3 linked regions of the Drosophila melanogaster genome follow. The protein of the gene in region 2 purifies or fractionates together with the protein of the main gene of each other region. This does not show direct contact. Each region holds a gene or a part of one and is shown on either strand. Other genes may lie near its edges.

Region 1 (7,562 bases), on a different chromosome or scaffold from region 2:
TTCCATTTCACCCATTAATCAGGGAGTCAGAACCCCTCGATTAGGGATAAGGAGGGCAAAAATCAATTAAAGTCCCAATGCTTCTTAGCCCAGGTTAAGCCCGACCACACCCTCTTGGGCAACCTTAGTTCTCCCCATATGACAATGGCTATTACAATGTCCCCATCGGCATCCATGTTTGAAGCTCCTCTTTTGAATACCATATCAACCACTAAAAGAGTGTGTGCTTTAATTGTAGCCTTTTTTTGTCAAAATATTATTAACAGAAGTGCTAAGAAGGTATAGGAAACATTTTATAGACATTGACGTCAATGCTTCAAAATGGGGTAAAGTGACAGGCAATTGAGCGAGCACTTTTCCACCCATTCGGACGCAGCATTATTAGCCAAGTTTACAGACACATTTGTCAATTTTATGGTGGCAACAGGGCGATGTATGGCTTTCAAGCTTTTTGGCGAAACGGCAATGCGGCATTTGCAATTATTATGAATCATTTCCGGACAGCTTTGTTGAGGGGGTTCAAGTGGTTGAAACATTTAATTTAGGAGGATTGAATGGAGAGGGGTAAGTTACCGTCGACGCATCGCGATGAGAAATTGTTTAATTCATTTTGCCAATAGGGCATACATTTTATATTTTTGTATTGAAATATTTTTTAATGCTTAATACCAATATGTATATGTATAATATACCTTAAATACTTCTTTCTATTTTCAGTTACTTTAAAAATATATATTGTGCCATATCATTAATAATATCTGAAGCGATTCGATATATAAACTATAATTAATATTTCTGGACATAACTCTTTTATTGACTTACTTTTATGTCAATATAGAATATTTAAAAACGGTATTTTGGTTCTGTCCAGTTGTCTTATGTTTTTGTTTCTATTTGATGATCGATGACGGCATCGGCTTGACCTCTCGGAGTACGTTTGATTTTATAGAACAAGTTTTCTCCTTTCTTATACTATAAGGAAAAATTATAAAAATTGCTGAAAATGAAACATGGCTAGAATTCGTTTTTTAACATTTTTTCAATCTGAGAAAAAATTTCCGATTAGTCTTAAAATAACTAAACCAATTCGTATACCCGTTAATCGTAGAAGAAAAATGAAATTCATATAATAAGTAGATGGATTTGCTGACCCGGTGAGGTATATATGTATTCCTGAACATGATCAGTAAACGAGTCGATCTGGCCTTATCCGTATGAACGTCGAGATCTCGGGAAATACAAAAGCTAGAAGGTTGAGATTAAGTATGCAGATTCTAGAAGAAGACGCAGCGCAAGTTTGCGACTACGCTGAATCTACTGCTAAAAACTGCCACGCCCACACTTCTTAAGAATTTGATTTATTTTCACAAGCTGAGGAACGGTAGGGTCGAGGAACTCGACTACAACGTTCTGCCTTGTTTATTTCTTAACAAAAACTTAGTAGCCGTTTGGGTTGGAAACCACCTGACCTTAGGTCTGGTAGCAGTTATTTAATTTATTTTTTTTATTTTATACAACTTGCTCGCTGTTTGTTCCCCCTAGCCCTGAAACACAAGCTGTCAAACGGTGGAGGTGATAAGTCTAATGAATGCGATAAGCTTTATTTCAATTCGCAATTTTCGTGTGGCATTTTGGCAAAAAAAAAAACTCGTCGGACATACATGTTGCCACAAACATAAAGTGAATACATAATGTTGGGTGAACGACTCATACACGATTGTGGCAAATCAAATTCTTTTAACACGGGACGGGGAAAGGCGAGTGAAGATATTTTAGCATATATTTAGCACATCTGTTAAATCCATTTTTTTACTCTCCGTTTTCGGCCAGATATGGTTAGAAAAGAAAAAAATTAGTACATACCCCCATATATAATAAGAAAAAAAGAGAGAGTCAGCAGAAGTACGGGGAGCTTAAGTGTAGCAATCAGAACATCACAAATAGTAAATAAATTAATAATAATAATAATCATATCCAAAAATATTTTTATTCCTAACCTATCGCATTGTTACATCGAGGGTGAAATTCAAAATAGACAAAAAGTTGGGGAATAAAATGTGAAAAAAGTGGTAAAATGTTTAATAGTGTGGGCGTTACTGTTTTGTCGGTGTGAGGTGCGTGGCCACCAAAGTGTTTTTGGTATAACGATAGAAATTGGTAAGACAAACAATATTGCGAAGAAAACCCGAAGCATTTTTAAAAAGTGCGAACGTGGCAGTTTTAAGGGTTTGTGGGCGTGGCAATAATTTTTGGCAATTCGATAAAAATGTACAGGACCAAATATATGAAGAAATATAAAATATTTTTCAAAATGACAGCCAGCAACCATACATATATATAAATAAATGTCGGAGACCCTTCCTTCTACCTGTAACATACTTTTCCACGAATCTAGTATTGGTTGATATATAATTATGCTGTGTATAAGACCAAAATCAGTGTACATTTCCATTGGATTCACCAACCGGATGGTTCCGGATGGTAATGCAAAATATTCATCTAAGAAACGAAAACACCTAGAATTAAACCTGAACTGATATGACTTATGCACATATCAGTGAGGTGGGCAGTTCAAAGCAATCACGATGCTCCAAGTTATTATCGCAGTGCAGTGAAAAATTCACAGTCACCGTCGCCAATTGCCAATAAAGATCGGCCATTATACAACAGAACCGCGTTGAAGACGATCGACGAGGTCGTGGGTCTTATCTTATCACCACCTGAATTGAGGCATGCCTCCAGAATGACGAGGGCATCCGAAGATAATGTGGCCCGCTATTTTCGGCCGGGACTGGACCTATGCGACGACCTATGCTGATGACGGGAGTCTGCCGCTGATATGGTGCAATGCAAGGCTCCAGTCGGGGGTATAAAAGACCCAGTTTCGGTGCAGTCAAGACAACAGACTTTAGGTGTTGGTCGTTGAGCGAACCAAAGCCGGAGCAGTTGAGGAACCAAAGAATAGCAGCGAGAGGACCAAGGATGAAGTTGACCCTTGTTATATTGGCTCTCGTAGCCTGTGTGACTGCCTTTAGCGTGCCCACGCAGAAGGTAAAGATCGCCGACAAGAACTTCCTGGAGAAGCAGAAGTTCCTCTTCGAGATCGTTCACCGTATTGATGAGCCTCTAATGTTCGAGGAATGGATTAAGATGGGCCAAAAGCTGATCACCGACAAGGCTCAATACGAGGTGAGTGCATTAAGAACATCACTTTCTTCCTGAAACCCTAGCCATTTCCTTGTAATTCCCCACAGACCTTCGATTTCTACATGGAGAAGCTCTGGGAATCCTACAAGCTTGGAGCCCTGCTTCCCAAGGGAGAGTTTTTCGGAGCCCTGGTCAAAACCCACCACAAGCAGGCCTACGGTCTGTTCAACTTCTTCTACTACGCCAAGGATTGGGAGACCTTCGTCCGGAACGTCGCATGGGCCCGCATCCACGTGAACGAGGGAATGTTCGTCTACGCTCTTACCCTGGCTGTCATCCACAAGCCCGAGTTCGAAGGTCTGATCCTACCACAGATCTACGAAATCTTCCCCCAGTACTTCTTTAACAGCAAGTTCGTGTACGCGGCCGAGAAGTTCGATTATGAGGTCTTCAGCAAGCTGACCATGTACGAGAAGGAGTACAAGGATATCCTTTACAAAGACTACAGTGAGTTCACCGGCAATTTCTATTTCTACACCAAGGACTGGAAGACATGGCAGTGGTACAAAATGATGGGTCTAGACCAGGAGTGGTACGTCGAGGACAAGTACTTCCTACGCGAAAACCTCTCTCAATTTGTGAACGATCCAAAGTACGTTGATGTTGTCAAGGGCCTAAAAAAATTCTACATGCCTGTGGACTACACCCGCGACATCGATTTTTTCAACGATGAAACTAAGATGACCTACTTCACCGAAGATCTTGGCTGGAATGCTTACTGGTACTACTTGAACATGGACTACGCCTTTTTCTTAAACGGAAAGCAGTTCGGATTGGACAAGGACCGTCGTGGCGAGTACTGGATTTACAATGTGCAGCAGATCCTGGCACGATACTACCAGGAGCGCCTGGCCAACGGTTTTGGCGAGATCCCCGAGTTCTTCTGGTACAAGCAAATAGAGTACGGCTACGATCCCCAGCTGATCTACTACAATGGCATTGGCTACAGCTACCGAAAGAACTACTATGACTTCTACACCTACGGCAAATTTGAAATGTACAGCCAAATCCAGAACTTCTTCAGTCGCGTCTACAAGGTCCTAGAGACAGGATTTTACAAAACCGCCGACGGTCAGGTGTTCGACCTTCACAAGCCCGAGGCTATTAAGATTGTGGGCAACTACCTGCAGGGCAATGCTGACACCTTTGACAAGTACTTCTTTAACTACTACTACTTGCTGGCCCATATGTACTTCGCTGATGTAGACTACAACGACATGGAGGTGTTCCCTAACGTTTTCCTGAACTTCGAGACTATGCTGCGCGATCCCTTCTTCTACACCTTCTACAAAAAGTTCACCGATGTGTTTTACACCTTTAAGTACTACCTGAAGCCCTACACCCAAAAGGATCTTTTCTACGAGGGCATTACCATCAAGGATGTCAGCGTCAGCAAACTGGTAACATACTACGACATTGTGGACTTCGATGTGACCAACTTGCTCAACGACAAGATGACGTTTGTCGACGGCCAGTACATATGGGACAAGGCTCTGTTGGCCCGTCAGGCCCGCCTTAACCACAAACCCTTCAACTTCGAATTCACTATTGATTCCGACAAGGTGCAGAAGGGAGTTGTCCGCGTGTTCCTGGGCCCCAAGTTCGATGAATACGGCCGCGTGATACCACTAGACTACAACCGAAAGAACTTCGTGCAGATTGACAGCTTTGTGTACCCCTTCATTGCCGGCACCAACACTATCAAGCGCAGCTCCAAGGAGTTCAGCTGGACCGCTGAGGACAGGATTACATACACCGAGCTCTACAAGTACGTGATGCTGGCCAGCGAGGGCAAGTACGACTTTCCCCTGGACATTAGCGAGCCGCATAACGCCTTCCCCGACCGCCTGGTGCTGCCCAAGGGATGGGAGCAGGGCATGCCCATGCAGTTCTACTTCTTTGTCTCGCCATTCGCCGAGACGTACGAACAGTTCTCTAACTTTGATTACACCTACTCCTCGGGAGTTGGCTCCGGCACCCGGTTCGTGGACACCAAGCCCTTCGGCTATCCCTTCGACCGCCAGATCGATGAATCCGACTTCTTTGTGCCTAATGGCTTCTTTAAGGACGTCAAGGTCTACTACGTCGACACCTTTGCCAAGTACTTTGAGAAGAAGTACACCCAGTTCGGCACCTTCGACTACTCCATTGAATACTAAGCCACACTGGATCTAGCTCTTAGCAATGTCGCAGGCAAAAAAACCAATACCAAAAAAATATATAAACGAATTTAAAATAAAGAAATACTGAATAATTAAATATTCATAATCTTGTTGTTCGCATCATTAACAAGCCTTGCCTTTTCAGATCACCAGAAACACAAAATGTCTTTTGCACTAAAAGCTAAGTAAACCCGCTTAGTGCCGTAACATGGGCTAATGGCGTTCGGCGGCGCCTGAGTCACATTGAAACCGAAAACTGGACGCTGAAATTTTTTTCTTCTCCTATTCTGCTTGTGGGAAAAGAAATATGTGTAATAAAACGCTGAGCCCTGAAGGCTAGTGGTCAAATACTAAACGCAGAAGGGCGAAGTCCTTGAGCAGGAAACGGCAAGGGTTCGTTAAACTTTCAACGCCAGCTAAGCCCGATACGAGTCCTGATTCCAGTCTCCCTTTTCTGCTTAGCTTCTAGAAGGCGTATGGCGATGGAAGGGAGGCCAGCTCGTGCGTTGCTTTCTGGCTACGCACATAATATCGACGCACTTTTTAAAAGTCTCTGGTTCCACCATTTGTATTTGGTGCGTCACTCCTGCCAGCTTATGGGTATCGTCTGGCGGTGAGGCGCAGAAAAAAGGAAATGTGAAAAGAAAAAAACGTAAAAAAAACTGCCTGAAGCAACCACCACATACAACATCAGCATCAAATGGAGTGCAGAGGGGAAGGCTTTAAAGTGGTATAATGTGGTAGCAACCCAGTCAAAGACCTAAACAAAAGAAACCCCAGACGAAATCTCGCCTTTTGCCCATGTGCGTGTGCGCTCCACTCGTCCCCCCAAGAGATTTGTCTAAAGCTCCTTGGACTTCCTGGTGCGTAACGCGATAGCCTGGCGCACTTCAATCAATTCAAATTCCTTGAGCTTGTCTTGGCCCCAGCGCTCACATTTTAATTGCCCGGCGGGCGGAGGTAGCTTAACCCATAAATTATAAACATTTGCCTAAACTTCTCACCTATATGGTTTCTTTTAGCTTAACCCATAAATTATAAACATTTGCCTAAACTTCTCACCTATATGTTTTCTTTTTTTCCAAAGTTAAATGTATATTAATGAAAATATAATTCAAAATAAATATCGCGAAGAAAGGCTGAGTTGAAAAATTGAGTTGACGTAAGCTCTGTCTTGATCTAGTTTAAATTAATAGTCAAATGCCGTATCGTCAATGAAAAATATTTTGGAAGCTTATTAAGTAACTAACGTTTTAACAACGATAAGTGTACACCACATGTGGCTTTTTTCGCCCCTTAACCTGCTTTTACTTGTTCATCTCGCATTTTTTGTTTTGTTTGCACAAATTAGCAGTCGACGACCCCTATATATATTAGTTTACGACCTGAGAATGGAAAAGCAGCCAGCCACTAGCTCGAAGAGCATGAATCCGGGTTTCAGGGGGGGGGGGGGGTCAGATTGCCGTTTTATTTCACCTTAAGGCTCTTTGGTTAGATGCCTGGCTGTCCAGACACGAATGAACTTAACTGAAGAGCTCAAAAGCCCCAGAGGGAAGTCCTTCGCTTGTCGCCTTATTGCACGGAAATATGTTGCCACAGTTTAAACCGCTCGAAATAAATATGCAAGTAATAGTGATGATCGGCTACTTAATTGTGCATTTAATATTCAATAATTATTTCATTACTCGTATGCCTTTCTTACTAAGGCTTTGTATTCCAACAGCATTTATAGCCCTATCGAGAGATTGGCCGCTCCTCTTTTTCTCAGGGTCTTCGGATTTCTAGTCAAGAGTTTATCTGAATACGGCTTCTGGCACTTGGCTTTTCACATTCTGATTCGTCTGTTACCCTGTTCCTGTAGCCCTGTTCGTTGACGTTAGTTTTTTTTTTCACTCTTTCCTCGGGTGCGGCACCTTTCGCACTGGGCTGGGCGTCCCCTTCACTACGTCCCTGGCCGAGCTGCTACACTAAATTGGTTCTTGCCCGTTCTGTTTTGGTAGCGAAGCTCACAACACAGAGAAGTTTTCCCGCCAAATGTCTCGAAATGGGGAAGCGAAAAGCAAAATAATCCAAAGCGAGCAGAACTCAACTCAACCGAGCCGACTTCAGCAGACAATAATACATGGTAAGTCCTAGGTCGGTTACAAAAACACCTCTGGCAAATGGCAACAAAACTGGCTTGACTCCACCACT
Region 2 (6,232 bases):
CGACCGGACTTTTTTTTTATCATTATGGTTCCGATAATATACATATATCGGAAATTGGATGGAGTTATGTGAAGTTGAGCCCCGTGAATGACTTACCTTCCAAACTGAACTCAGCAATAATGATGTCCAGCTCTGGATTCTCCTTTCTCAGTATTTCAAAGATTTTAGATGTCAGTGCTTCATAGTGCTTACCATATCGTTGTCCCTCGTCCTTTGGAATGTCAACATACTTCTTTTTGCATTCATAGAGCTTTTTTTCCACAAAGTTTTCAAGATTTCTAGACTCCTTCATTTTTTCTACAATATTATTTGATGAGTGAATAATCCCAATGAAGGTAATCACAATTAAAGATAAGGTTTGCTGATTAGCGAACACTGGAGACACTGGAATCTTTTTTACAATCGATTAAATACTAAAAAATAAATTAATTTTTACTTTAGGTATAAACGAACTAATTAAACTAGTATATTAAATACGGTTGCCTATTTTAAGTTTCCGACTTAACACAGCATTAAGATGCATTGCCCAGTTTTTCGGTAGTAAATATCTTTTATACAATCGATTAAATACTAAAAAATAAATTAATTTTTACTTTAGGTATAAACGAACTAATTAAACTAGTATATTAAATACGGTTGCCTATTTTAAGTTTCCGACTTAACACAGCATTAAGATGCATTGCCCAGTTTTTCGGTAGTAAATAAGCGCTCAGTAAAAGTACCGATCGCATTTTGTATAAAAAACGATGATTTTAGCATTAGCATGTCCCAGGAAATTATCCCTAAGAAAAACATCACAAAAACACCGCTATAGCCACCGCTGTTTAATCGCATTATTATAGGCAAAACAAATCACGGTTCATCGCTCTTTTACCGCTATTTATTCACTACCTACATACATATACATATTGAAGGAGGGGACATTTGGCATTTACATCAAAGATTAGCGGTTTTTCATGACCTTTTTTACTTTTTTCATCAGTTATTTATTACTATACATTTATTTGACTTTTTATTTAAATTATACATAGGATTTAAATTCAAGAATACAAATGCATATAGAATTCTAGAGCTTTGGGGACGTCTTGTTATCCTACATAGTTAGGGCCAGCTTATTTTCAGTTAAGCTTGGAATATGGGTAACCTTAAAGTAAAATATATTAGGATAATACAACAATTAAACTTCTGAGTAATAATTGACGCTGCTTGTAAAATGAATCCATTACCTGGCATAATTAACGAATTAAATGCCAAAATACTTCTCACAAAAAGCTAGTCGCAAGAACCAATATATTAAAGTTTTTTAAGCATTTGAAGTTGTGGGGTATTGAGGATATTAAAACGAGGGAAGTGAATATTTTGAATTTAATCACCGTCTTTAATCTGAATTCACAATGAAATGCAACATAAGGGAATAAGAATTAACAAGTCACATTCAACCAAATTCCCTTACGACTGCTCCCAGGGAAAGCCATTAAAAAAATAAGCATGAGTTTCACGTTTGTACAAAATCATTTCGGCCAAACTAAAGGTGTTTTATTCAGACGATAAACAGTACTATCAATATGGAGTTCCTCGACTAGCGAGGTCGGACTGCTTAGTGACCCGCGGTGGCGGCCTTGGCAGCGATCTCGTCCTCCTTAGCATGCAGGGCGATGAGCTCCTGCTTCTTGGTGGCAATACGCTCCTCGCGGCGCTTGCGGGCCTCACGCACCTTCTGTCGGCGAGCCTCGGCCTGATCAGCCAGCATCTTGCTGCGCTGCTTCTCAGCCTTCTTCTTGTGGATGTACTCCATGAGGACGCGCTTGTTCTTGAATACGTTACCCTTGCACTTCATGTACAGGTCGTGGTACAGGTGCCTGTCAATCTTCTTGCTGTCGCGGTACTTCTTCAACAGGCGGCGCAGAACGCGCTGGCGCTGCATCCACAGCAGCTTGGTAGGCATGCGGGCGTTCGCAGTACCCTTACGCTTTCCGAATCCGCAGTGACGTCCCTTGCGGCGGGCCTCGGTGTTTTTGCGCACACGGTAACGGGAGTGGACCACGACGGGCTTCTTGATGATCAGACCATCCTTGATAAGCTTGCGAATGTTCTGACCTGGAATGGGTTAACAACACAGTTAGCTGGGCTGTCTATTCGACCATTTAGACCATTTCTACTCACGCGAGTTTGTGTTAGCGATCTCGTTGATTTCATTGGGATCCAACCAGACCTTCTTCTTGCCGCATCGCAGCACGGAGGCTGCGAGCCTCTTCTGGAGCTTTAGAGAACTGCAAAGGAGGGTAACTTGTTAGTCCATCATTTCGAAAGTAGCGTGCTGGGATGCGCCTATCAGCTTGTGTGTGTGTGTGCATGAGCGTCGCATGTTCGGTTATTTCACAACTGCCGGGAAACAGAATGGCACTTGTCCGCCCGGCAGCTGCATCATACGGCACGCGCTCGCCCGGCACACTTTGCAAACATTTAGACCCCGCGAGCGCAACTTTTCGCTCATATTTGCGAACTCAAATCTACCTCATGCTGTCGACCTCGTCGTGGCTAGGAAAGAAAGAAAAATTTGACAGCCGGAAGTCAGCACCATTTTCTGAAGGGTGCTATCGATACATCGATAACGTACTCGGGGGTCTGGCAACGCCTCGGGGATGTACTAGTTTAAGCGGAGTGGCAAGATTTATTTAAAAAAAATATTTAATAACAACTACTTTGTGCGGTTTCCAGCAGCTTGGATGTGCAAGATCCGGCCATATTTATATTGTTCGAATTAAGTTAGAGCAATTAAGTAACGAAGCTTGGTATATTTTATTTATCTACTTGCGGTCACACTAAATTGGCTAAGAAAAACAAAAACAACTTTTTAGCCCAGTTGCAGCTGTTCAGAGTGCAATTTCTGCAATGCAGCACACGCTTATACGCTGCTTGGGCATGGCCCGGATATCCCTGATGCGTTTGCAGCCCAGACCCACAGTGGCAGCCTCCGGGGGACAGGAAGCTGGGTCCATCTCGAAGCCAACACAACCGGTCAGTCGGTCTTTCGCCTCGCTGCCGCAGGAGCAAGACAAGAAGGAGCAGAATGCCAGAGAGAGCCTTAACCGCCTGCCTCGCCTAATGGACTTTCCAGAGATCGTGTGGCCATCGGCGCTTAACTCGTTAAAAAATTGGATCACCATACAGTTCATAATTCGACCCTACTTCGACAGCGAGTTTCAACTCAAGGACTTCATATACGGCGCCAAGCAAGCGCTGCAGGTGCGTCATGGTTTGTCTATCATGAAGTGTAATGATATTAATTCCCTCATAGGTAGTATCCTCAAAACTGATGGGCGGCGACTTAGACTCCCTGGACAATCTTGTCTCGCCCGAGGCGATCGCAGAGCTTAGACCGGTAATCCAAAAACTGTCAATGACGCAACGGAGGCAGCTAGAAATCAAGGAGAGCGACATATACCTCAGCTTTCCCTATCAGGTAGGTATTATGTTTGACGATGCAAACGACAAGCTGCAGAAGCGTTTCGTAGAGATCACCATGGTGTTTCACGTAATGCGTGGTCTATCCGAGATGCGGGAACGCGGCGAGGAAATACCCTGGAACATGGGGTAAGTTTGGACTGTCACTGCCCGAAAGCTGAGCTCCTCATACCCATTTGTTGCAGGACCCTTCCCGAGTACCAGGATAAGGTTTTCATCTGCAACTACCGTTTTGTAAAGGAGTTCACCGCTGGACACCAATCGGACTGGACCGTAAATGTGGCCAACCAGTTTAGGGCCATCGACCTTATTAACGAGACCATATAACATCGGCCCATGGCTACCATCATCCGCGCTGTTCGCCGACTCATAGCATATATTGGCGTAAGCCACCGCCTTCGTTGGAATAAAAGTTTCGTTTTCCGCATTTAGGTATAAAAAACTAAAATCTTTACTGTGGATCTCTGGTTTAAATTAGGTTCATGTGAAATTAGTGCATTTGGTGGACAAGCAAAGCGCTCAGTGTCCCTCGTGCTTTGCTCTGTAGATGCCTTGGGGATCGTACTTGTTCAGGAGGAGCTTCCATTCGCCGGCTTTGTTGGCGCGAAGGTAGTTGATTACCTTTTGTGAGTTTTTGCGTTGGACTTCCGTGCACTTTGAGCAGTCGGAATGAAGGGCGTCGGGTAAAAGGCGCTTAAGTTCACGACCCTCTGCTGTGCATGGGCCCTTGTCCATCAGGCACTTGAGATAATTACCCAACACTCGGTTGTTGCCCAGAACTTCATCCACGTTGACACTGTCGTACTTGTTGGTGTAGGTTTTTTCAGGAGCAGCTGCCGCAAGACCGACACAAACACAGAACACTAGAGCTAGCGAGGCTTTCATCTTGGAGGATTATCTGGAAAGGCAGGTGGGAAATTCAAATTATTAAAGGTAAGCCACGAAACACATTTCCTAAAATGAGGGATTTTTGGTTGCCGGGTAAGCGGATAATAAGAAGGCGTCAGGCAGTCTCGGCTTTTCTGTGTTTTCGACGCATGTCAAAGAATCATCCAAAGCGGTTAGTGGTCTGCCCACCAGCTCATGCATTATTTATGGCCCTTGGCATATATATCGCATATGCATACTAATTGGCAATCGTTTGGATTTAATATTTTTGAAAAGATTTCACAATTTCACCGACACCACGTAGTTTTAGCAGCTTTCGACTTATTTGCGTCCAATATCCGAATCCATGCTAGCCCGTGGCCAGCTGTTTGGTTTTCGCAATCCTTGATGGGTGCTGCACCTCAATTCCTCGGGTGCTCGGCCTAACCAGGGCAAACGAACCACGGCTTGAACAATGGCTTACTCACTTCTCTTCCGGTGATTTTCGGTGGCCCGGGTGCAGTTGTGGTACGATCAAAGGCGCAACTCAAATTGCGAGCTGTTAGCTCGCTGGCCTCGCTTTTATACCAGGAGCTTTAGCGGCTCGTACACTGAGCGCAATGGTCAGCTCTCTGGCATCCAGAGCTTTAGCAGGCAGGGAGCAGGCGGCGGGTTTGGCCAAGTCGCGGCCCAGCGTAGACCCAAAGCAGGCAAACCGAACCGGATTTTCGATGACTGACTTAAGGTTTTTTCAGCCGAATTTCGGCAAGTGGTCCGATGCTCGGGCCAGCGGTTCAAAGGGTGGAATGGAATGGGAGTTTTATCACAGATTTATCTCTCAGACCCTGGTCGTTTGTTTACTCGTTCACGTACGAAATTCATAGGAAAAACATTGACGTACGTGAAAATTGAAATTTACATGTTGATTTTGCCAGTTGGTTTTAGTGGCTCCGAGACTCACAGCTGCTGAATCGGCTTGGATCAGCTTGGAGTTGGGTGTCCAACTCTTTCCCGACATAACGACCGCATTTGGTAGTGCTAGAGTTGTTGTCGCTGTGTTGTAATCACTTTTATGCATTTCCATTTCCCTTTTAATTATCTTTGGCGTCATGAATCGCACGCACCAGTCTAGACTGAACCAGATTTCGAAAGCTCATCGGTCGGGGCGAGAGTTATTGGGTTTTGTTTTGGCGTAGCTCGACCGATTCCAACTGGTCTGCCTTAGTAATTGGGATTTACCCCTGTCCAGGTGGACAATTCGGACAGCTTGCTGGGGGTTTTAAGGCGACCACCATTGGCGGTCGTCCGCACTTGGAACTGATCTCGCTAATGGAGCGCGGTGCAGCCCGAAATTACTAGTATGGTGGGGCAAACAATAATTGGCCATAAAGCCAAAATACACTTCATACCCTCGTATAATTATGAGCATTTTACGACTCTGACGCAGGCGATTCTACTGATTGGCTGGCTCGGTGGATCAGCTCCGCTCCGTCTCGTCTTCGAGGTCAATAAATCACCAGCGCTGACTCTTCACCTGTGACATAACTCTCGTGCCAATTAAACAAACAACTTTTAGCTTGTCCGCGGTGATTAACATTTAAATTGGGGCATCCTTAGCCCCGAGCGCTGGGGGTTCGTATTGATTTATGTAAATCGCGAGAGTCCGATCGGAAAGGAAAAAAACTCCCGGACGCTATGCGCGGCGGAGGGCTTAACGGGTCCAACAGGTCCCAAGTTGCCGAGGGGCCAAGGGTATCTTACCTTGAAGTCGGACAGGGCATCAGCACTGAAACCAGGGAAGATCATGCGACATGTGCAAAAGTTCAGGTTCAGGAAGGAGAAGGAGAAGTAAGTAAGGCAAACAAAAGTAAACAAACCACAAAATCCACAACGGCGGCTC
Region 3 (7,580 bases), on a different chromosome or scaffold from region 2:
CCAATTCATAAAAATCAAGGTGGAAACAAAAAGGGACCGAGAAACGCTAACGGCACCAATCCCTTTAAGAAATCAAACCAAAAGCCAAGTGCACCCTTCCCAGCTAAGAAAACGAACAACTTTAAGGCGAAAAACAAGCAAAATAACAATAGTGGAATAACCGACGATCGATTAAAGGCATATGGCATAAATCCCAGAAAATTCCACAAGCGGGAAAAATATGGAAAAAAGGATAACTAAAGAGTTATGATAAATCTAAGAATAAAAGTTCATATATAGTTATACATTTTATAGTTACATTTTATGTACATATGATAACATATTAAAAACCAACACAGCACAATGAACTCTGATTTGATCAGTTATTCTGCGGCAGTCACGTCATCATCGGTGGCCACTCCATCATCATCATCATCATCGTCCTCGGTGCTCTTCATGCGATCCAATTGAAGACGCCGCTCTTGGATGCGAATGCATTTGGGGCAAATCATATTTTTGCGCGTGAGGCAAACTCGGTGGAAGATGGAATTGCACTGATCACACTTGATGCAGCCATCGTCGAAGGGAAAGATCACCTCGTTGTTGCTACAAATCTCGCAAATGTACGCTTGGGCAAGGCACATGGGGCAGGATCGTATGTGATCATTGAATGCCTTGAAAACTCCTTGCAGAAATTCGCTCAGCGCTCCAGATTCCACCTGGCTGAGATCACTTAGGGAATAGAACTCATTTGACTGGGCCAGATGTCGCCGGACACCCAGTTGCTGATCCACCAGCTTCAACTCGCTGGCAATCTTGCAGGCAGCCAGATAGTGGCGCATATGCACCAGATTTTGGCGAAGTTTCTTTACCGCACACAATTTTTCTACGAACACAAACAGCTTGGGATTGTCCTCCTCCAAGCGAATGAGCGGTTTATTTAGGAACAACCTAATCTCTTGGAGCGCCGTGCGCGACACTCTGCGTGGCGAAAAGTCCCAATTGTGGATAATGCGGGCTGGTATAAAGTTACTGTCGTTCCAGTTGCAGCGAGGGCAGTAGTACAATCCACTATAGTCGCATAGACGCGGCTCAATCCAGGTATTTTCTACGAGGAAGGAGTCTAATTATTCGGAACCAAAAGAGTAGCCTTAACTTACTTATATTTAGCATCGTCCCGCACTCGGCGCACTTGTATCCCTGGGAGGCGAGTCCGATTTCTGGACATATCTCCGAAATGGGATGCTGCCGCTCTGAAACCAGGACATGGGCACAAACCCTCTTCACGCCATCGATGCACTTCTGATGGACCAGGAATCCGCAATCGCTGCACACGTACGAGTTCTGCACCACACTCCAAATAATGGTGGTGCAGTGGTCACAGTAGTTCCTCTTGGCGGCTGCCTGCAGACGATTCCGTTTGCCATGATGCGGGTGATGGGGCACAAAATGATGACCCACCACAGCACGTATGGCATTCATAACTACCATGTCCGACGATAGGGAATGCTGCTCCTGGGCCTCCTCCAGCTCCTGCAGTGAGTATCGCAAATCTACCAGGTGCCGCACCAACCAGCGACGCTCCTCGCTGAGTTCCTCGCTCAGCAGGACGAGATCTCTGCAATGGGCGATGGCCGCCTGCAAATCCTGGATATTGGCATCGCTGGTGAAGATTAGGCGCCATTGCTCGCGCACCAAGGACGCGGGAATGGGCAACGCCCTGTACTCCGCACCTTGTGGACCACTTTCCTCGGAGCCTCCGGCCTCGGATCCAGATCCAGTGGAGCCAGAGCCTCCAAGGCCAACTGTTGATCCCAGCGTGGATGAGGCGTGTAACAGGTTGCTGGCGCTCTCGTTAATCAACTGCGCCACCGTGCCCGGAATGCTCGTGAGACTGTCCTTCCAGGAGCTCATTTTTGGGGAAGAACAACAAAACAAGTCTTTGTGTGTTTTTTTAGCGACCAGGGATGCGAGCAATTGGTGCAGATGAGCGAACTAGTTATCGTTCACGGGGCAAACTGCAGGTGGTTGTACGCATCCCTGGAATGCACCTTAATACAGTGAAAGAAAAAATGTGAGGGTTAATTATTTATAAATATTTTGAATTTAACTTTTAATATTTTTAAAATATGATACAATTTGAAACCATATTCTGAAATATGTCAAGCGTGGTTTGCATAAAGCAAATATTTTTGTTACCATATTTTACCATTTAATATTAAATTGTAATTTAAGAAATCTAACAATCTATTGTGTTTATTCCAGATAAAAATGCCTATTTTTAACTTGAAAATTCGTCTGCTAAAAACTGTAGGCTTTAAAACTAGTATCAATAAGCCCTTTATTCTATTGTTCCTTCTATTTACATATATTCTGTAAGTAGAGGAAAATAACTAGAAAACCAAAAATATATTTTGAAAAATTGAAAAGAGAGTGACTTGTGTTGAATACGTTTATTGTTCGATGGTCACAAGGTGGACTGACAAGCTGGGTAAAAATTGAGTTAAATTACGATCTCTATGGGGTAAGTGGATGCAGACAAAGATATAACAAGGAAAACATATGTAATCTATCCAATATCGTTGGTTCGTTTTGGGGTTCGTATTCGTTGGGTCCAGGATCTAGACCACATTGGTGTGCTCGTCGCGATGGAAGATCTTCACGTCGACGAACTTGAAGTTGTGGACATCGAAGTAGTAGTCATGCTTCACCGGCCTGTTGAAGGGGAAACCGAAGGGCAGGGCGTCCACGTAGCGGGAACCGTGTCCCACGCCGCAGCTGACCACCGGATCGTAGCCAGTGAACTGGGCAACCTCGGGCTGGTGGTACGGGTAGACCATGTAGAAGAACTGGAACACCTGGCCGCCCTTCTTGCCGCGCGGCAGCATCATTCGGTTGGGCACGCCGCAATGGGCCTCCGACTGATCCAGCTTGAACTTGTAGTCACTGTTGGTGGCGTCCATCAGCTTCTGGTAGAGCTCCAGGTAGGTGGTGCGATCGTTCACCCAGAAGGAGAAGTCACCGCTGGCGCGCTTGATGTGGTTAACGCCCGCCTCCAGATGCACCTTGAAGTGCTCCAGCTCGAAGAAGTTCTGGTAGTTGTGCTCCAGTGGGATCTCGTGTCCGTGCTCATCGTACTTGGGTCCAATGAAGACCTTCACAACGGCATCCTGAGCCTTGTCCGAGGTCACGTCCAGGGTGAACTCGAAGGGCTTGTGGTTGAGACGCTGCTGGCGGGCCTTGATCACATAGCTGGATCCCTTGTAGTGGGAGTTCCTGCCGAAGGTGTACAACGGATCGGCGGATCCCTCAACGGCGGGCTCCACATTGACGGCATTGCTGATGTCCGAGTCGAAGTGCTCGAAGTAGGTGGTCAGACTTTCGGGCATGTGGACGGCATCGATGTGGACACCCTCGAAGGCGTAATCCTTCTTGTGGTACTCCGGATAGGTCTCCATCAGATGCCAGTAGTGGCTGACAATGGTCTTGTATACCTCGTAGAAGATCGGATCGCGCATAGAGGTGTCGTAGTGCATGAAAAGGCCAGGGAAGCTCTCGTCACCATGGCCATAATGGTGGCCCTCGTTCACAATGAAGCGGTACAGCTTGTCAAGACTGCCGTAGAACTTCTTGTCCACGCTGTCCGCATTGCCCTGGATGATGTTGCCCAGCACATTGATGGTCTCCACATCGAACTTCTCGTTCTTGTGGATCCAGTCCATGACACGCTGCGTGTACATCTCCACATGCTCGATGTGCTCGTAGTTGTGCTCGTGGTAGAAGCTGTGGTGATTCTCCCGGTGCCATTGGGGTACGCCGTAGTAGGTGCGCAGGTTACTGGCATAGCCGGATTCGGTTGGCACATACATGTTGAAAGCGGGCACCTCGCCGAGATCGTGGGACAGACGCTCCAGGTACCAACGGGCCAGCAATTGCCAGTGGACATACAGGTAGAGCTCACCGCGACGATCCTTGTTAAGGACATGCTCCTCGCCGCCCTTCGTCCAGAACGGATAGTCCAGATTGAAGTAGTAGTAGAAGGCATTGAAGCCAACATCCTCCAGGTAGTAGGCCAAATCGTGATCGTAGTTCAGGGAACCGTGCACGTTCGAATAGTTCGTACGGATCACCACGTTGTAGATGTTGTCCATCTGCTTGACATGATGGAAGCCGTGCATTTTGTAGTGCTCAGCCCATTCCAGTGCCTGGCTATCGAAGTAGCTCCATGGGTGGATCTCGTAGTGGGCCGGCAGGACGACTCCCTGCATATCATCACGGAACAAACTGGCAATGGTCACGGCGTACACGAACAACTGCTTGTTTACGTGCTGGCGGGCCCAGTAGACGACGTGCTGGAAGGTCTCCCAGTTCTTGGCGAAGTAGAAGAGACGCACCAGACCCACCACATACTCCTCGTGCTTGTCGTACATCACCGACCACACCATGTCATCGGTGAAGGGTTGGTGTTGCCACAGCTCGAAGAAGTGCTCCAACATCTCCGGGTGCACATAGTCGGCCACGTGCTCCCACGGCTTGTACTCCACGTAGCTGCCCCCGAAGGGCGTGGTGAACACATCGTCCTGGTAGATGTGCTGCAGGATCTGGTACATGAACTTCTGTTTCATCAGAAAGTCCTTGTCCGCCACCTTGGAGTCCAGGTGCTTGGCCTGGCCGAGAGTAGCCAGCAATGCCACTGCAGCTAACGCAATCACCGTGAACGACTTCATCTTCTCGAGTCGATTCGAATCGTAACGCTGCAATGATCGGTAGCCAGTATTTATACCCCCGGATCGGCGATACGCAGATTGCAATCCGGCCAATGACCGGTCGCATCCGTAGCCTTGATCCGCGCCATCGCCGGATCTGAACGACCCGCGAAGCTCTCAATCTTAGCGCCCATGCTGCATCCATAATTGCAGGTGATAAGACCGACGATTAGGCGGCCATACCAAGATCAATCCTACATCATTATCTAAATTCAAGAGTGAGCCACTAGAAACTGGTGGTTAGGTGAAGCAGCTGGAAGATCCAGTTAAGATTTCCTCGCTCCAGAGACACCTTCTCCAGCTGTCTAAATAGGAGAGTCTAAAAAAAAGAATGCCCAAAATATCACGATTACATTGATACTATTTATAAGCAAACCCACTTGCATTGTCAACTTAAAAAGTTCATACCACAGCACATTAAAAACGTGAATTGGTACACCTATTTTGTCGCCGTGTAATGACTTTCATTTTTCCCCATTTTTCCATTTCAAACTGATGATCGTGCTTTTTTCACACATATCAACAACAGGTGTTTGACGGGCCCCCTTGATTAACCTATTTCAAATAGTGATTAAGATTACATGGCCACCTGATCTCCTGTCAATTGAGGTGTTACCAGGCGGCTTCCTTGATAAGTTTGCTTTGTTCGCCGCATCGATTCTTTATCAATGCTAAAAATATTCCGAATTGCAAAACACGGAGCATCATGTTGCTGCGACAACAAATCCCGGACAACAAAGAACAATGGACCATCGAATGATCCGCAGGTCAATGGAGAACATATCAATCAATCAGACCCATTTCAGTCCTCGGTTTTTATACTGCTATTAAATGTCCTTCAAAATAAAAATATATATGATTACAGGATAGGAAATTATGACGTTCTATGCAAATGCATATGATCTCATTAGTATATCTATACGTACATATCTTTATTTTAGTTTACACAGAATCTACAAAATTTATTTTACGAAAAGTAACCATTGCGTAGATAAACACTATCCAAATTATTTGGCGGCTGGATTCGTGGAAGTCTTCGTACGGCCTCCCGATTCTCGTCGGGAGTCACGTTGAGCATCTGCCCCGGATGTTCCGCTCGTTGGTTTTGGCAGGAGACTCTCGGTTCCGGGGATCTGTAGAACTCCGTGTTCCTTCGGCGCGGATACATCTCACAGGTGGTCAGGATCTACAGAAAAGCACGGAGATAAATTTGAAAGACCAAAAGAGAAATGAAATACTTACGGGCTGATTTGAAGACGTACCCCTATCCATGGTTAAAAAACTTTTATATTCGAAATAAACAAATTTTGAAAATTTAGAAATTTTTCAATGATTTTGTCCGGTTACTCGAAAGATATGAAAAGAAACCTAACCGAAACGGGTGAAAATAGTTTATGAAAACCCGAAACCATAATCATGGCATACTTTTTTTTAGATTTGCGTTTCAAGTTTTGAAATTGGTATTGGTATATCTTGAAATATATATTTTTATATTATTCAGACTTCGAGAACATATGAGTCTCGTCTATTCAAGGTGATCACATTGCTGCGTCATTCGCAAAGTCTTCAAAATATGATTCATCCGATTTAGAATAAACAACACCTTATCATTAGAAGTATACATTAATGCAAAATGTTGTTCAAATGTTTAGTTGCTAATCAAAAGAAAATGATTTCTTTTATAAATGCATAATCTTATTGCTTTTTAGAAACTCAAATAAAAAAAAACCCATTTTATTGCAAACCTTCCGTTTACTTTCATTCATTTTCTGTAATGTCCTTTTATTCCTTTTATAATTATTTTGTAGAAATCAAGTTTTGATAACTTTTTTCAAGTTACCCCAAAAATATTAGCCAACTAATGAACTGCTCACGCATCGCTTTTCCTAATTGGGAATTACGGCTCCCATGGGAAATCCTCTACAGGTGTTGTGTTCACCCAAAGGATATTTCACTGGTTAGTCTGCTCGTAGAACATGAAGTTTTTGGTTGGATTGCTGCTCCAATGGTATCTTCCTGGCATTTATGCCCTTGCCGAGATTGCCTGTCGCATAGCCGTAGAGCAGAATGTCCAGGTGACCTATCTGTACCGCTGTGCCAGCTGCCCGGCATCCTTCGATGCGGATTACTCTGCCTTGGAATTGGATCTCTATCGGTGTGTGGGCAGTAGACTGCCCGTAATCACACGGAACATGGAAGCACATGAGCTGGAACCATTTAGACGAACGGACAGCCTAAGCATCTTTCAAATTCCGGCTGCCGAAAAGGGTGATTCCTTGGTACGCCGCATCCTGGACATGTTGAATCCTCACCAGAGGCGCAAGCATATGCACAAGTATCTGTTTGTTTGGCCAAATGCCGGAAGGCATCAGTTACTGCGACTTTTTCGCGGCAGTTGGGCCAAGAAGCTGCTCTACGGATTGGCCATTACCGGCAGGGAAAATGGCACCTTTGACTTTGATCCCTTTGCTTGGGGTGGTCTCCAAGTGATTCAGCGGCTGGATGGCGAAGTGCCGTACGCAAGAAAGGTGAAGGACTTGCGCGGCTACCCATTGCGTTTCTCCATGTTTACGGATCCGTTGATGGCGATGCCCAGGAGTCCTGTGGAGACAGCTGGCTATCAGGCAGTGGATGGAGTGGCGGCCCGAGTTGTTGGCGAGATGTTGAATGCCTCAGTAACATATGTCTTCCCGGAGGATAACGAATCCTACGGTCGTTGCCTTCCGAATGGAAACTACACCGGCGTGGTCAGCGACATAGTCGGTGGTCACACCCACTTTGCACCCAATTCCCGCTTCGTGCTCGACTGCATTTGGCCAGCGGTTGAGGTGCTGT

Evidence for each region.
Region 1: the proteins of CG3776 (region 2) and Lsp1gamma purify together in Drosophila melanogaster (affinity purification with western blotting; one study listed by BioGRID). This does not show direct contact.
Region 3: the proteins of CG3776 (region 2) and Lsp2 purify together in Drosophila melanogaster (affinity purification with mass spectrometry, with the first as the bait; one study listed by BioGRID). This does not show direct contact.

What each region holds. Positions count from the first base shown.
Region 1 is NT_037436.4:63,533-71,094, forward strand, and holds Lsp1gamma (larval serum protein 1 gamma), read left to right. Parts: upstream 1-2,897; 5' UTR 2,898-2,982; coding exon 2,983-3,189; intron 3,190-3,254; coding exon 3,255-5,366; 3' UTR 5,367-5,463; downstream 5,464-7,562. UniProt on the Drosophila melanogaster protein: Larval storage protein (LSP) which may serve as a store of amino acids for synthesis of adult proteins.
Region 2 is NT_033778.4:24,966,955-24,973,186, forward strand, and holds CG3776 (uncharacterized protein), read left to right. Parts: upstream 1-2,723; 5' UTR 2,724-2,792; intron 2,793-2,856; exon of another isoform or gene 2,857-2,858; 5' UTR 2,859-2,892; coding exon 2,893-3,246; intron 3,247-3,298; coding exon 3,299-3,594; intron 3,595-3,650; coding exon 3,651-3,792; 3' UTR 3,793-3,901; downstream 3,902-6,232. Other genes in the region: cGlr2 (cGAS-like receptor 2), read right to left, coding at 97-292; RpL19 (ribosomal protein L19), read right to left, coding at 1,598-2,097, 2,164-2,270, 2,515-2,519; Phk-3 (pherokine 3), read right to left, coding at 3,985-4,350.
Region 3 is NT_037436.4:12,126,536-12,134,115, reverse strand, and holds Lsp2 (larval serum protein 2), read right to left. Parts: upstream 4,724-7,580; 5' UTR 4,707-4,723; coding exon 2,601-4,706; 3' UTR 2,247-2,600; downstream 1-2,246. Other genes in the region: CG5645 (uncharacterized protein), read left to right, coding at 1-240; DEF8 (differentially expressed in FDCP 8 homolog), read right to left, coding at 363-1,087, 1,140-1,893; CG34241 (uncharacterized protein), read right to left, coding at 5,713-5,931, 5,988-6,017; Ir68b (ionotropic receptor 68b), read left to right, coding at 6,722-7,580. UniProt on the Drosophila melanogaster protein: Larval storage protein (LSP) which may serve as a store of amino acids for synthesis of adult proteins.